Linked DNA regions of Macaca fascicularis. The protein of the gene in region 3 interacts with the protein of the main gene of each other region in a pairwise test. Links are inferred from orthologs where the notes say so. Each region holds a gene or a part of one and is shown on either strand. Other genes may lie near its edges. The genes, in order: FCHSD2, CDC42EP4 and FAM9B.

Region 1 (5,237 bases), on a different chromosome or scaffold from region 3:
GCTGCCTCTCGCTTCACGCCACAACCAGTGAAGCACTTCCTCAAAACTTCTAGAGTTCTAAGGGGGTGCTAGAAAACCACTAGTTTAGATTAACCCTAAACCAATGCAGGGGTTCCTTGCATTGGGTCCCTGAAAGATGCTTGCCCACAATTTTCTTACACACTTACAGGGCTACACTATGTCTCACGGGTGCTTATCCTGTCTTTGGGAAGATCTGACTACTAGAAAGTATTTCCCAATACTAAACTCACATCTACTTCTTTCCTACCTTCATCTTTTGGTTCAAGTTCTTCCTCTTGAAGTTACATGGCATAAGTCTGTGCTATCCCCTTTTATCTGACTAATCAAATACTATTCATCTGCCAGTATTCATCTTAAGTCTTCTTCTGTGTTACACCCAAAACAATCCCTCCCAGAGTGATTTCTGTGTCCTCTGGATTCTTCAACTACACTTAATGCACCACTCCTCCGCACTTATGCTTTACCATCTTAGTTATTTTTGGCATTCTTTATGCCTTTCTAACAAGAACATAATCTTTTGATGGCTGGATGGTGTCAGTCTTTTATGAATGTCTATCTCTATACCCCTTCATCATGTTGCTGCTGAGTAGATAGTGTGTGCACGGGTCCTCCATGAACTGGCCCTAACCACAACAAGTTTACTTATTTTCTATCACATTTCCTCACAAAAATCCTCCACTCTAATCTATCCAGCTACCAAATTATACCCTGTGTCTTCCTCATTTGCTAATACTTTCTTGTTTCCTATCCCAACCTCTCCCCATCTAGAGCAGAGAGTATTAGCCTCAGGCATATGAACTCTAAACACCGTATACAAAATGTACATTTTTGTACGTGGGAGAGAATGTTTCACAGCTTTCATACAACTCTCAAAGGTCCCAAGACTCCATAAAAAATTAAAATCCACTATTATAAATTTTTTCCCATCTTTGCTTAACCAAATCTTCCCTATTCTTAAAAGCCCAGCTCATGTCCCTGGATCCAGGGAACCTTCCATATGGGGGAGATTTCCCAAGCTCTGAATATATATGTATGAATATATATGTATATATATCTCCATATATATTGATATATAAGGAGATAGATATATCTAAATTGATATATATCTCTAAATTGATACACATACGTCGATTTTTCTACCATTAATCTCTGTGGTTTATTATGTACCTTGTAGAAATTTTAAAATTAGTATCTTCATTGTGACTTAAATCTTTTGTATTTAATGTTTCATGACTGTAAACTTTACGGCATCTTTTTGTTATATGTACTGCCTTCCACAGAGCAGGTACTTAACAAATACTACTGTGGATGGCCGGGTGTAGTAGCTCACGCCTGTAATCCTAGCACTTTAGGAGGCCAAGGCAGGTGGATCACGAGGTCAGGAGATAGAGACCATCCTGGCTAACATGGTGAAACCCCGTCTCTACTAAAAAGATACAAAAAAAAATTAGCTGGGCGTGGTGGCAGGCGCCTGTAGTCCCAGCTACTCGGGAGGCTGAGGCAGGAGAATGGCATGAACCTGGGAGGAGGAGCTTGCAGTAAGCCGAGATCGTGCACTGCACCTCCAGCCTGGGCAGCAGAGCGAGACTCCGTCTCAAAAAAAAAAAAAAAAAAAAAAAATCCTACTGTGGACACGAATGAAGACGGTGAATCACCTTCATCTCAGTGTGTGTAGCAACTCAGTTTTAAAGGTGCATATCACAGTTGCGACAGTGTCATTAGACCTGGGCAAAATGCCACAGTTAGCTGCCACCTTACCTCTGCTTTACGAATATTTTCTCTAGCTTCATCTATTTTCTGTTCCAGCTCTGCTCGGCTTTGTTCTGATACAGCAGGTCCATGACACTCCAGATCATCTAGAACCTATTAAAAAAAATGGGACAATAATGATGACTGTTTTTTACTTTTTATCTTCCTTAAGTGATTAGAGTATTTACATAATTCAAAAGGCTTTAGTGACTAGTAGCCACAATTTTTTTCATTTATTTATTTTTTGAACATTTTGAAATAATTATAGACTTACTAGTAACAAACTTACTACAGAGAGTCCCTTCAGTGGGGAAGCCAGGACCAGCCACTGTCTGACTGACGCCACATGAGAGACCCCAAGGGAAACTGCTAAGCTGAGACCACCCAATACTCAGATTAGTGAGAGATAATGTAAAAACCCTCTTGTTCTACGGCATTAAGTTTGAGGTGGTTTGTTAAGCAACATTACATAAGTAGAACATTGAATCTGAGATGCCTGTGAGATAGTGAAAAGATGTCAAAACAGGAAAGAGGTTATATGGATACACAGTAGTAGCTAGGCCCAATGTTGAAGATAATAATTTATGATTTGGTGGTAAAGTAAAACCATGGAAGTGATTGAGAATGCCTATATGAGGATAAAGAATAAAAAAAACAAGATAGCCAAACAATCTGAGAAAATGAATATTTAATTGTGGGCTGGAGAAAGAGGAAACTATGAAAAAATCTAGGAATAGCCAGAAAGGCAGAAGGAAAGCCAGGACAATGTTGAATCGTGGATGACTAGAGAAGATAACATTTTAAGACAAAGGGAGTTGTCAATTGTGATAAAATTGTTGACAGATTAAGAAAAATGAGAAATCAAACTGTCCATTTTGAAGTTAGCAACACAGACATCATTGGTGATTTTGGTAAGCTTAGACTATGAAGTGATACAGGGGGAAGGAAAGGAAAGGAAAGCTCAAATGTAATGGGCTAAAAAGTAAGTGGGAGGTGAGATTCTATAGATAATAAGCATAGGCAATTCTTTTAAGAAGTAGGATGTGAAAGCAAAGAATGAGAAGGATATAGGTATCAATAAATGAAATTGAGAAAAAAAGTACTATACTGAAAATAATTTCTTTGTGCTTAGAGTTTAGTCTTTGAGATATATTTTCTCCCTTCTTCCTTCCCTTCCTCTTTCCCATCCTTCTTCCTGTCCTCCTTCCCTTTCTCCTTCCCTTTCTTTTCTTTTCTTTCGAGACAGTGTCTTGCCCTGTCACCCAGGCTGGAGTGCAGTGGCATGATCTTACCTCAATGTAACCTCCACCTCCTGGGCTCAAGCAATTCTCCCCAACCTTAGCCTCCCGAATAGGTGGGAAGATAGGTGTGTGCCACCATGTCCGACTAATTTTTGAATTTTTTGTAGAGACTGGGTTTTTTGCCATGTTGCTCAGGCTGGTCTGAAACTCCTGGCTCAAGCAATCGACCTGCCTCAGCCTCCCAAAGTTCTGGGATTACAGGCATGACCCACTGCGCCCAGCCAAACATATATTTTCATGAAACCTATAATTGTGTCTTTAAAAAATATGTCTTGAGGGATGAAAACCTGTATTAATTCAACATATGTCTCTTCCCCTGCCCGTAACACACTATCACAGCTTTTCTTTGGCAATTTTATGGTAAACTGGTGAATTAATGTATTGCTGATGGAGGGCTTAAGGAAATTCCAACATGAGTAGATAGCTGACAGCACACTGCTAAGTGTTGAGAAAGTACAGAAAAAACACATACAATGCTTGAGCAAAGGAGTTTGAGACCAGCCTGGGAAACATGGCAAGACCCTATCTCTACAAAAAACCTAAAAAAAATTAGCCAGGCATGGTGGTGTGTGCCTGTGGTCCCAGCTACTTGGGAGGCTGAAGTGGGAGGATTGCTTCAGCCCAGGAGGTTGAAGCTGCAGTAAGCTATGTTCACACCACTGCCCTTCAACCTGGGTGACAGAGCAAGCCTCTTGTCTCAAACAAAACAAAACAAAACAAAACAACACATATAGGATATTTTTCACATTAATAAAACTCAGCTCCTTAAACTGTTTGACATTTGGCTTAAGGTGAATGTAACTAGGACTTTCTCTTATACTTACCCGTTGTTGATGAACAATGTTTTTATGCTCACGTGCCACACGTGTGGCCCATTTTCGAGCTTCCTTATTTAGACTGTGCTCCTCTGTGGTCCCAGTTTCTGATTCTAATTGTCGGCTCTACAACACAAGACAGAACAGAGATAAAAATATTGCTATCTTTATTGCAACCACCACTGCTTTGTAGATGGATCAGAAGGCCTTCACTTAATCAGCACTCAAAACATAAGGCACACTCCACTACTGCTGGAAACAATGTCTTATCGTCACAGAAAGTTACCAGAAGAGTAAGATGAGTATAAAACCATTAAAGACCATAAACTTTTTGTCTTACAGTGCTGAACACAAAAGCATCATCTCTAATACTGCAGACTTATCTTTTTGGGTGTGACGGACTTATCTTTCCGAGTGAAAAGGAAGCTAGCTAAGGTAAGCAAAGAAGAAAATGTATTCATGCCAACCTACTATGGTGATAAAATCATTGCATAAATAAAAATGGAAACAACTTAATAGTTTCAATGTGAGTAAGGAATCATTAAAGATAAGAACAAAACAATACAATAACAGCAACACAATCTTGCACCCCTCCTGCTAACCCAAGGCAGATGGAACTCGTTAGAGGTCCATCATCAACTTGCCACCAAACCTTAAAAGTCAGCTTTTGCCCTTTCTCCAGGCTTCATATGAAATATAAGGGTGCTAGATAAAATGATCACCAAGGGTTTCTTCTAGCTGTATGCTATGATTCTGATTTACAAAGAACAAACCACAAAATCTAAATAAAAATATTAATAGCTAACTCCTATTGTGCAAAGTACTATGGAAAGTGATTCATATAACTTTTTTTTTAAACAACTTTATGACGTGGGTCCCACACCATTTTATAGAAAAGAAAACAAAGGCTCAGAGAGGTTAATTTTTCTTGGATGTCCTAGATATTAAATGTTACAACCGTAATTGTCTGATTACAGAATCAGAGCCATTAAACACAAAACTATTTTAATTCTCTCTAAATTCTTAAAGACCCCTGAAAAACAAACTTTATTGAAATAATTAGGAATTTATTTTAAAAAAATATGAATCACCCAAAGAGGCTTTTCATATAGAAAGAAGCAAAATTGTAGAATGAAAAGAATTTTAGAAATTCTGATCATGGCTCACTGCAGCGTTGACCTCCGGGATCAAGTGACTCTTCCATTTCAGCCTCCTGAGTAGCTGGAACTACAGGTGTGTGCCACCATACCCAGCTAATTTTTTTTTTTTCCTTCTAGAGATAAGGTCTCTCTATGTTGCCCAGGCTTGTCTTGAACTCCTCGGCTCAAGTAATCCTCCCACTCTGGCCTTC
Region 2 (5,337 bases), on a different chromosome or scaffold from region 3:
CACGGTCGAGAAAAATCCTCCAGTACATAGGTCAGAAGACCTACGCAGAGCTCAGGTCAGCTCTGTTTCCAGGGCAAGATTGCTCAACCCTTCTCCCTCCGCCCACAGGCCTTATCTCTGGCATCAACCCAGCTCCCCATTCCTCCAAGGGATGGACTCCTCCCTCCTCCAACAGGGACAAACTCCTCTGAGTCTCCAGAACCAGAATGAGAACACAGAAGGCTGGACTTACTGCCACCCAAGCGCAACCCTGGCCACTCTGGCTTCTGACTTCTTCACTTCGAACCCAATCCAAACATGGGGGCGTGGGATGGGGAAGAGTGAAAGGGAAAGGCCAACATCAAACACTTTTCGGCCACACCTGCGCACAGACAGTCCTGGCCACAGAAATCAATCAGTCATTCCAAAGGGGTAGAAGGGGTTGGAAGCCCTGGGCCACTGCCAACCCAAGGCCCTTCTGGAAAAGCTCCGGACTTGTAAAGAAGGGTTGGCCAGGGCTGGGTGCAGTGGCTTACACCTACGCCTGTAATCCCAGCACTTTGGGAGGCCAAGGTGGGTGGATTGCCTGAGCTCAGGAGTCTGCGACCAGACTGGGCAACACGGTGAAATCCCATTTTTACTAAAACACACACAAAAAAATTAGCCAGGCGTGGTGGCATGCACCTATAGTCCCAGCTACTGGGGAGGCTGAGGCAGGAGAATTGCTTGAACCCGGGAGGTGGAGGATGCAGTGAGCCGAGATTGTGCCACTGCACTGCAGCCTGGGTGACAGAGCAAGACTCTGTCTCAGAAAAAAAAAAAAAAAAAAAAAAAAAGGGCTGGCCAGATGCAGTGGCTCATACCTGTATGCCCAGCACTTCAAAAGGCCAAGGTCCGGGAAGATCCCTTGAGCTCAGGAGTTCAAGACCAGCCTGGGCAACATGGTGAAACTCCACCTCTACAAAAAAATACAAAAAATAGCTGGGCGTGGTGGTGGGCGCCAGTAGTGCCAGCTACTGGGGAGGCTGAAGTGGGAGGATCACTTGAGCCCAGGAGGATCACTTGAGCCCAAGGATGCAGTAAGCCTTGACGATGACGCTGCACTGCAACCTGGGCGACAGAGCAAGACCTGGTCTCAAAAACATTAATAAATAAAATAAAAATTATTTTTAAAATGAAAAGAATGCTGTAAGATTCCTCTCCCAGGTCAACACTCATTCCCGTGACCTTTATACATGAGACCACTCCTTTGCTTGTGGCTCCTTGGTCTCCGGTCCTGTGAGGCACTGTCTGGTTCCAGAGGCACCAGCACAGTGGAGGCAGGGTATAGAGGATAGGGACAAGCACGGTGGGTGGCCAAGGGTAAGAGAGAAACGAGGGGGAAAAAAGAAGAGGAATGTAAAAAGAGAGAGGCAGAAACCCCAAGAAATGGAAGAATCGTTCATAGTACAGGCCTAGGCTGTACCGCAGAGCAGGAGCAAACTGCCCTCAGTGGCAGGGACCCTAGGACTTCAGGGAGATTTCAGAGGGGAGGCGCTGAGACTCACCCCAGAACCACCACCCATAGGATCACAGTGGCCCCCTCCTAGTCCCTGCAGGGGTCTACCAGGATGCCTGGGAATCTACTTGGGATCTCCCCAAATTCACTGAACTCCCCCCCTTGTGGGAAGGAGCAGCTGTCTTCAAGGAGTGGAGAGGCAAAGTCCAAGTTCAGAGGAGATAAACCACCCCACTAATCAGTCAGTCACACGGGCAGCTCACACAGGGTAGTTGGTGAGAGCAGGAACCGGCAGGGCACCCCCGCATTCAGCAGGCTCTGGCTTCCCAGCAGAGATAGAGCCTCAGGAGATCCTGGTGGATGCCCCATTATTGCTCCAGGAGCCCCTGGGGCTGCCAGGGGTTCTCTCAGGGCCTGGCTCAGTCCCAGCCAACTCCCGATTTCTGGGAGAAATCCGCAGCTCAGCAATCCCTTCCTTTGTGGCCTGTTCTTTGTTCTCTTAAAATTCAGTCCATCCTGCTGGTGGTCCCTCCTCCACCCTAGCCTCAGAAGGGGGCGGGGGCTGCGGGAGTTATTGGAAACCCAGACTGCCAAAGAAGTTGCCTTGCAGGAGGCCCCTGTCACCGGCCCCTCATTGTTTACACTCGCTGGATGGGACCTTTCTCTGGTCCAGATGGCTGCTGGTTTCGGACGAGAGATTTTCCCTCCAGCACACGGGCCCCTCCGGGGAGAGCAGGGGGCTTCGCAGCGAAGGGGCTCCCGAGGACCCCACCCGGATCCAGCTGCTCAGCTATCTGGGCAAACAGTGGGCACCGGGCACCCAGTAAGAGATGTGGGAGCTGGTCAGATTGCAAGGGGTGGGAGTCGTGGAGAGAGAGAAGTTCCAGAGGCAGCAAGAAAAGAAAAGGCATTGTATTTCCCCTCCATTCTCCCAGGGAGAAAAAGAAAACTTCCAAAGCCCAGGCCGCAGTCACTGGGAAAACACAGGCAACCTGGTTTGAGTTAGCAGAGAGCACCCCTCCCCCAGTCCCTCTCGCTCGCTCGCTCTCTCTCTTGCGCTCACACACACACACACACACACACGCACTTCAGTCCTCTCCCAGGAAGCCGGCTCAGCCTCAGCCCCGGCTCCCGCCCAGCTCTCCAGCCCTCCTGGCCGGGGCACTCACCGACTGACCGGATCCCCGCGGGCAGGACGGCTCCTAGGGGACGTGCCGGAGGGAGGGGGCAGTTTTGTAACCCCGGCTGGGGGCGCTCCGGGGAGGGGGCGGGGCCAGGGACGGCCGTTCCGCGCGCACCCGCCCCAAGCGGGCGATTAAATCATTAACCAACCGCTCCCGCCAGCGACCCCGCGGAGCGCGCTGAGCTCTGGGTGCACCGGCCCCGTGCGCAGCAGCCTCTCGGGCTCCAAAGGGACAGGCGGCTCGACTGCTCTCCCCCTGCACCCCGCCGGGAGGCGCCTCGACCTCCCGGGCTTCCGAGGGAGCGGGCGGGGCGGGATCCTGGCGGGGAAGGGAAGGGTTCGCGGGGCGGGAGTGGGGGAACGGGGAAGCATTTGTTCCTTTGGCCATTCCCTTCCAGACAGCTCCTTCCCGCTGGCTCCCCGGCCGCGTGACATTGGGTGGCGTGTGCTGCAGTGTGTGTACGAGAGCGAGATGTGTACACGCCTCTGCTCAGGCGGAGAATTCGGTTCTTATTCACGGAGAACTCCGGGCGCACACACGCCCCCCTCGCGGAGATCGCGGGCCGCGCGCCGCCGATTGCTGCCCTCCTGCCCACACCGACACACACCCCATTCCTGGGAAGGGGGAGGCCCTTTAAAACCAGCCCCCAACCCGCCCAGCGGCGCCCTCGGCCAAGCCCAAGAGTTCCAGCGTAGAAAGGAAATCGAGTCCCGGCGACGCTGCGCCCGGCTCCCTGCCACCCCCTCCTCCGCACATCCCGCTCTGCCAGGACACTGGGTGCGCGTCTCCGGGTCCCAGTCACCGCGGCGGGTGCGGAGAGAAGCGCGAGCGCCGAGAAGTGGGGACTCCGCGCCCCTCTCCCCGCGCCGCGGCCTCGCATCCCTAGCTTGGATCCTCTCTGCCCCACAGGGGGGCTCGAGCCCCCCCAAGCCCACCCTGAGCACCCAGCGCGAAGGCGGCTACCACAGCCAGAGGCGGGTACCCGTCGCCTACCTCGGTCCCCGGGGACCCGAGCGCCGACCCAGCTGCGCTGTCTCCTCTGTGGGCTCCGCGCGGCGGCGGGGGTAGCGGCCCCTGTCAGCGCCGGCGTTTGTTTCCCTCTGGCTCTCGGGCTTTCAGGGCTGGGAGCCGCCAGGACACTCCCCTTCCAGGCTCCGCCCGCGCCCTCCCCGAGCACCCCTCCGCGCTGATGTCACGGCGCCGCCGCAGCCAATGGCCGTCGGGAACCTCTGCCCGGCTGCTCGGCCTCCTAGGTTCAAACCGAAAGCCTGAGACTTTCCCAACTCCATATGGGGCAGCCTGGGCCAGCCCGGCTTCCGGGAGACACCCCGGCCCAGCCTGCGCTCCGGCCGCGAACCCCCACAGGGGCCCCCAGGGCCAGGGGCGCGGCTCCCTCCGGGGGCCTGGCGCGAGGCTCTCTTAAGGCTCTTCCCCATTCGAGCCAGGACAGGAAACCAAGAACTCCAGCCCAGGTGGCGTCCCTCGTTCTTGCTCCCTCCCGGACCTGCTAACCACCTGGCTCCAGTACTGTTGGGAGTTGGGGGCAGGAGGGCTGACGCCACCAGCTTTGTGGGTGCCATCCCAGACTCTCGCTGGAAACGAGGGAGCAAGGAGGAGCCGGCCAGCCCCGAGGCCAGGCCTGAACTGGGCGTCAGAAGGGTTTCTACAGGGTGACAGCCCTTGAGCTCCCCGCATCCCCAAGTCTGTGCCTTTGCCTCCTAAGTATCAGCTGAGGCTAAATTTGCTCCAGGTGAACGTCAAGGAGATCAACTCCTGAGTCCCAGAGCCTGAATCCAACTCCCAGGCCTTGGACTCCATTCTTTTTAGAGGAATAGTTTCAGTTGAAATGATCATTATCAAGGTACAATGCCAGCTGCGAAGTAGTCAACTAAAAGAAAGTGGACAAGGTGCAAAGTGAAAGGTTCCCTTGCCTCTAGCTAAACCCCAACCTCGGTTTTTAAAGGAAGTGAGGGTGGAGGCCCCAGACTTTCCCTACGGCTTCAAGGTCACTAAGCCCTCAGGGACATTCTGCTTTCTGGGGACTGCACATTTCCGTTTCCCTCTGCAGTGCGACAGCAACCAGCTTTTGAGATCTGATGGTCTGACCACTCCATCCTGCTGTGAAAATTAAATTCTGGGCTGGACACAGTGGCTCATGCCTGTAATCCTAGCATTTTGGGAGGCCAAGGCAAGTGGATCACTTGAGGTCGGGAGTTTGAGACCAGCCTGGCCAACATGGTGAAACCCTATCTCTACTAAAAATACAAAAATTAGCAGGGCGTGGTGGTGGACGCCTGTAATCCCAGCTACTCGGGAGGCTGAAGCAGGAGAATCGCTTGAACCCGGGAGGCGGAGGTTACAGTGAGCCGAGATTGTGCTATTGCACTCTAGCCTGGGTGACAGAGGGAGACTCCATCTCTAAAAAGAAAAAAAGAAAAAAGAAAGGAAAATCAAATTCTGAACTGGACATCTGGAGGAAAGGTAGGGTTCGGAGCCACTTGGGAGGCAGACACAATGTGGATTCGAACCCTGGCGGGGTTATCATGGGTGTAAACCAAAAAGTGACTAAAGCAGGTCTCAATCAAACAGAGATTTAGTTAGCCAAGGTTGAGGATCCACCTGGGAAAAATCACCTTTTTTCCAAAAAGGGTTTCGGGAATTTCCATATTTAAAAGA
Region 3 (5,036 bases):
CATGGCATTTTGTGTAGTATTATGCTAAAATTTTGATGTAACTTTTTTTACAGGGCTAATACCAAGAAGCCAGAAGATACTGCAGGTATATTTTAGGAGTTATCTGTCGTTTATGAAAATTGTTTTCAATCATGCAACTGTTGCAGTAAGTTATATGAATCAGTGGATGACAAGACTGTCTTAAATGGCTTATCATATGTAGCATTTAACATACGTATTTAATGTAATCTGTTTGATAAATTTTTCTTACCTCTTTGATTGTTGATGTGGAATGTGAGAATGCTTCTAATAATGGTGAAGCGAGATGGATGGCTTTTCTTTCATACACGTGGAAATTTAATTGTTTGGAGAATATTAGAGGACATTGGAGGAGAAATAGCTCTATTCGTTCCTTTTAGTGTACGCAGATTAAGTCATATATCAGGTTTTTTTTAAGCTTTCACTTTAAGTTTGGGGGTACATGTGCAGGTGTGTTATATAGATAAATTGCATGTCACAGGGTTTTGGTATACAGATTATTTTGTCACCCAGGTTATAAGCATAGTACCTGATGGGTGGTTTTTGATCCTCACCCTCCTCCTACCCTCCACTCTCAAGTAGGCCCAGTTGTCTGTTGGTCCCTTCTTCCTGTCCATATGTACTCAGAGTTTTTAATAAGAGTTTTTCATGTTCTTAATTTAGCTATTCTATTGTCACAGCTTTCTGATTTTGTTTTATTTGAAGTACAAGAGAAAATTGAATTCTCTAAAATCATTTTCTATTATTATTCCAGTAATAAACTGTGTAGTACAAAAGTAAGGACAACTTTTCTATCTAGTGAGAAACATGTAATTGGATCCAAAAACTCATAAACTTTATATTGCTGTGTGAAATATTAGTTGCACTGTTATAGGGACCATATTTTCAAAAAAGTTTGAGAAAATTTCTGTAAAGATGATGGAGACAATACTCTTACTTTTGAAAAGCTCAATTCAGTTTTCAGCTCTTCGATAGCGATGATTCATACAAGCAGTATATTTGGAAAGCTTTGCTCTGCTTGGTGACAAAAAGTGCCGGTTTTGTGAGCTGCCTAATACATTGGGCGTTATAGATGGAGACTGTATGTAAAAAATATTTGCATTATGGTACAAATCTTTTATGATTGCTGAAAACTGTTTTTAGCAATTGATGGTAGGTCTCTGATGTGAAATCATGTTTAGGAAAGCATTCCTTGCAGTATTACAGTTTTCTGAAACACAGCACTATGGGCACAAATGTCATATAAAAAGCTGCAAGAAAATATTTTAAAAGTGTTTTTGAGTGTATTTCTTTACCTAAACCTAAATTTTCATACTCATGGCCATGGCTTCTTTTATTAAAATACAGTTAATAGCATCAATCACTAGATTGCTTAAAAATGCTTTTCTTACTGTGTATTAACTTATTTCTACCCTTTGGATGGTTTTACTATATGATACTTTTTTGTGTGCTTTACATAATGAGTTGTGCAGTACTTCATGGAAACATCTCCTTTGAATTGTAGGACATTTTGTAAATGTAGAAATTAAAGTCTGTGCTTATAACCCTTTCTGCACATTTAAAAAATAGAAACTTTTAATTATTTGCTTTTTTTCATCATCCGTCAATTAAGTGATTTTCAGCTATACAAATTGGAATTGAAATACGAATATTAATACCTGAAATGTTTTACAGAAAATAAGTGAGTAAATCTTGCTTTTTGAAATGATTTTTGAATTTTATATTTTAAATATCCTTCTTGTATTGCTGAACCATAATGTCCCATATTGATGTCAGTATATGCAAATAAACTACTTTTCAACATTAACTTTTAATCCATTTTCATTTACTAACTGACATTAAAGAGGATCTTACTGCAAAAAGAAAAAAGATGAAAATGGATAAAGCTTGCAGCAAAACAAAGAACAAAAGTAAAAATGCTTTGAGAAAAAAACAACTTAAAAGGTATGACTGTTGGCTTTCTCGCGTAATGATATTTATATCATTTCTTTGTATTCGTTGGTGCAAATAATTTCAAAAACTACCCTGTACATATTGGCGTCTCTAGTGAACAACATATTTTACTTGATTGTTCTCTAAGCAGGTAAGTTTCTTTAGTTTTATAACCTCAGTTTAACAGAATCAAGAGATATTACCTAGAAGTCAATGAAGATGACCTCTTTTTGCCTTCCAGATAAAAATAGTCTTCCTGTAAAATTAATGTTTATCCATTTCTAGAAATATGGTAGCTGCATATAAGATAAATGTTCTCAATGTTTAGTCTGTAGATCCTTAACGATACTCAATTATGTAGAAAGGGATAACCTTATGTTGTAAATAAGTTATCTATTTTAGTTAAATTGTTTTCACTATTTCTTTTACAAAACCATTGGTGTGCCAAAGTGGAGAAATAGTTAAGTGAAGCATTTCTTCTGGGAAATCTTACGGGATGAATGGCTATGATATTCTTGAACCTACTTATGAGAACCCATATGTTATTCAGTAAAAGGAAATGAAAAGTAAACTGCTCTTAGAGAAAATGAATGTTTCTGGGAAACTTATAGTGCAGTAAACCCTCCTTTGTCTTCAGCAGGTAAAGAATATAAGATAGCTGCTCTAGTAGTCAGGAAGGAAGGAATCCTTTCAGAATGAGAGCAACTCATTTCACCTTTTTCCAAAAAGAAGATTTCAGCTACTATTACTCCCTTGCTACTTTATAGGATAAATTATGTCAAGTCAGTTTGGGTTTGAATAGGATTAATTTTTCATCTCTCTATGAAGTTTGACCGTGTTACTTATTATGTATTACAGGCAGAAACGTGATTATATACATTCTCTGAAGTTGCTGAATGTCCTTGAAGAATACATCACAGATGAGCAGAAAGAAGAAGAAGAAGAAGAGGGAGAAGAAGAAGAACTAATTGTTGGTATCAGGCTTAGCTTTATGTTTAACCTGTTGTATCAATGTCTCAGGGAGTAATTGTTCATGCAGAAATTCAGCAAAGAAGGAAGAGTGCATGAGCCCAGAGAGGGGGCCCGTTAGTGGACTCATGTACCAGGGGAATATAATTGCCATGCAGCATTAGGGGTCCAACTGAAGTCAGCATCATAACGATGAAGAAATTGAAGTGAGCCCAGTTGGAGTATTTGTGTAAGAGCAGCTGTAGGGTTGGAATTTCCTGGGTTGGGGTCTAGCCGAGCAGATTGACAGAGGGAGAGTTGGGCAGGGAATAGATGCAGGGATGAGGATAGATGACTGGCTGTGGAATTTCAGCTGGGACTGAGTTACCCGAGCACATGGGGTGGGCAATGGGCAGTAAACAGTGCTCCATTCAGTGGGTGTCAGGTCTCGACAGACTCCTGAGCTATAGTACTGAAGTGAGTGACCTACAATGGCAGGGAGGTAGTGGCTGTATGTTGGGAAGATGGAGAAACAGCTGACTACAGTGGTTCAAGGGCTGGGACTATGCAGCCACACTGCTTGGGATCCAACTCCAGCTTGACTGTTGCTAGCTCAGAAACCACGGAAAAATTATTTATCTCTGTGCTAGCTCGGAAACCGTGGAAAAATTATTTATCTCAGCTTGACCATTGCTAGCTCAGAAACCACGGGCAAATTATCTACGAAAGGAGACATGGTAAGAGTACCTACGTCAGAGTTGTTGGAGGATCAAAAGGTTTCTATGTAACAGGTTTATTTAAGTTTTTCAGGATGTGATCTGACCCATGGTTGCTCCTTATCATTGCTATTATTAATATTACATAGGTGTTGCAGTCATTGGGAATGACAAAATCTAGGGGATGACTGTGTGAGTGAGTGCCACGTAGAGGAGAGGAGAACACTGTTGTTGGAGATTAAATCAAGGTGCAGAAAGGCCATCATTATTGGGTGGTTCATCTATGTGCCTATTGAAATGACCAAGATTTAATACATGCTTAAAATCCTAGAAAGAATGTGTCTTAGTTAATTTCTGTATAGATCTTACCTATCTGTGGTCAACAAATTGTAGGAAGGTTCATCAAATATTCTTCATTGGAAATCGAGAAATTAGGACATACGTGTTGAATATGTGAAAGTAAGAAAATTATTTACTTAATGACTGATGAAAAAGGTTAATACATCATTTTTAGCATGTGATTGGCGAACACGATCGTTTAAAATTGGTCCTAAATGTTGTCTAAAAGAAAGTGTTCAGAAGTATTGATTTAAAGAGTATTCCTTTAAAGCTAATGGAGAATTGTGTTTTGTAAGTATTAAAATTTACCCAATTTTTATCACTATTTTGTTGTGGGATTCTAGAAAATATTTCAAGAACAACAGAAGAGGTGGCAGCAATATAGAAGTGTTAGGAGAGAGAGGCTGAAAGAGATGAAGCTGCTACGTGACCAATTCTTAAAGGTCTGTTCTATTTGGTAACATAATACATTATAAAATACACCACGTGCATAATGGAAGAAAGTCTGCTTGTTTCTGAATGTATGGAAAGACATTTTGGTTATACATTTTAAATTACTTACCATTTTCACTTTGAATGTATTGTTCCAGATATAATAGTATTGGTAAATGTATTTTTAGGATTCATGAATAGTTTGTAGGAGTTATTTAGAACAGGAAAAGGTAAAGTGGAAATTTTACCTAGAAATATACATCTTATGTATAAAATTGACACTTTATTAACACATTAACTTATTTATGCCAGAGGTTGCAAATTGTTTTTGTGTATGAAAAATCAGACCTTGGCAATGACCTTGAGCAGTAGGATATACATGATTCCCACAAGGTTAGCGTTCCTATATGGAACACTAGGCATAAATGGGTTTTAATGAAGATACTATTTTCAGTTTTCAGAACATCAATGACAGATCTATGGTGGAAGGCAGGAAGTCCTTAAATCCTTTCTGGATATCTTTTTTACTTGTGTTGTTTCAAGAGTTTTAGTTAAATAGGAAGTAGGCAAGTGTAACTACTGAGTGTCTCTTTTATTTCCTGCTGTAATACAGGAGCGTTTTAATGGCATATTCACTCACAAAATTATTAG

The links.
Region 1: the proteins of FAM9B (region 3) and FCHSD2 interact in binary tests that used the Homo sapiens proteins (3 or more experiments, as listed by UniProt). The two-hybrid records come from large-scale screens. The link is inferred for Macaca fascicularis from reciprocal best matches to the Homo sapiens genes FAM9B and FCHSD2.
Region 2: the proteins of FAM9B (region 3) and CDC42EP4 interact in binary tests that used the Homo sapiens proteins (3 or more experiments, as listed by UniProt). The two-hybrid records come from large-scale screens. The link is inferred for Macaca fascicularis from reciprocal best matches to the Homo sapiens genes FAM9B and CDC42EP4.

What each region holds. Positions count from the first base shown.
Region 1 is NC_088388.1:71,690,522-71,695,758, forward strand, and holds part of FCHSD2 (F-BAR and double SH3 domains protein 2), read right to left. Parts: intron 4,013-5,237; coding exon 3,896-4,012; intron 1,885-3,895; coding exon 1,780-1,884; intron 1-1,779. UniProt on the Homo sapiens protein: Adapter protein that plays a role in endocytosis via clathrin-coated pits. Contributes to the internalization of cell surface receptors, such as integrin ITGB1 and transferrin receptor.
Region 2 is NC_088390.1:79,651,141-79,656,477, forward strand, and holds the start of CDC42EP4 (cdc42 effector protein 4), read right to left. Parts: upstream 3,764-5,337; 5' UTR 3,655-3,763; intron 2,682-3,654; exon of another isoform or gene 2,647-2,681; intron 1-2,646. UniProt on the Homo sapiens protein: Probably involved in the organization of the actin cytoskeleton. May act downstream of CDC42 to induce actin filament assembly leading to cell shape changes. Induces pseudopodia formation, when overexpressed in fibroblasts.
Region 3 is NC_088395.1:8,681,513-8,686,548, reverse strand, and holds part of FAM9B (protein FAM9B), read left to right. Parts: intron 1-53; coding exon 54-85; intron 86-1,862; coding exon 1,863-1,962; intron 1,963-2,808; coding exon 2,809-2,920; intron 2,921-4,297; coding exon 4,298-4,396; intron 4,397-5,036. UniProt on the Homo sapiens protein: May play a role in meiosis.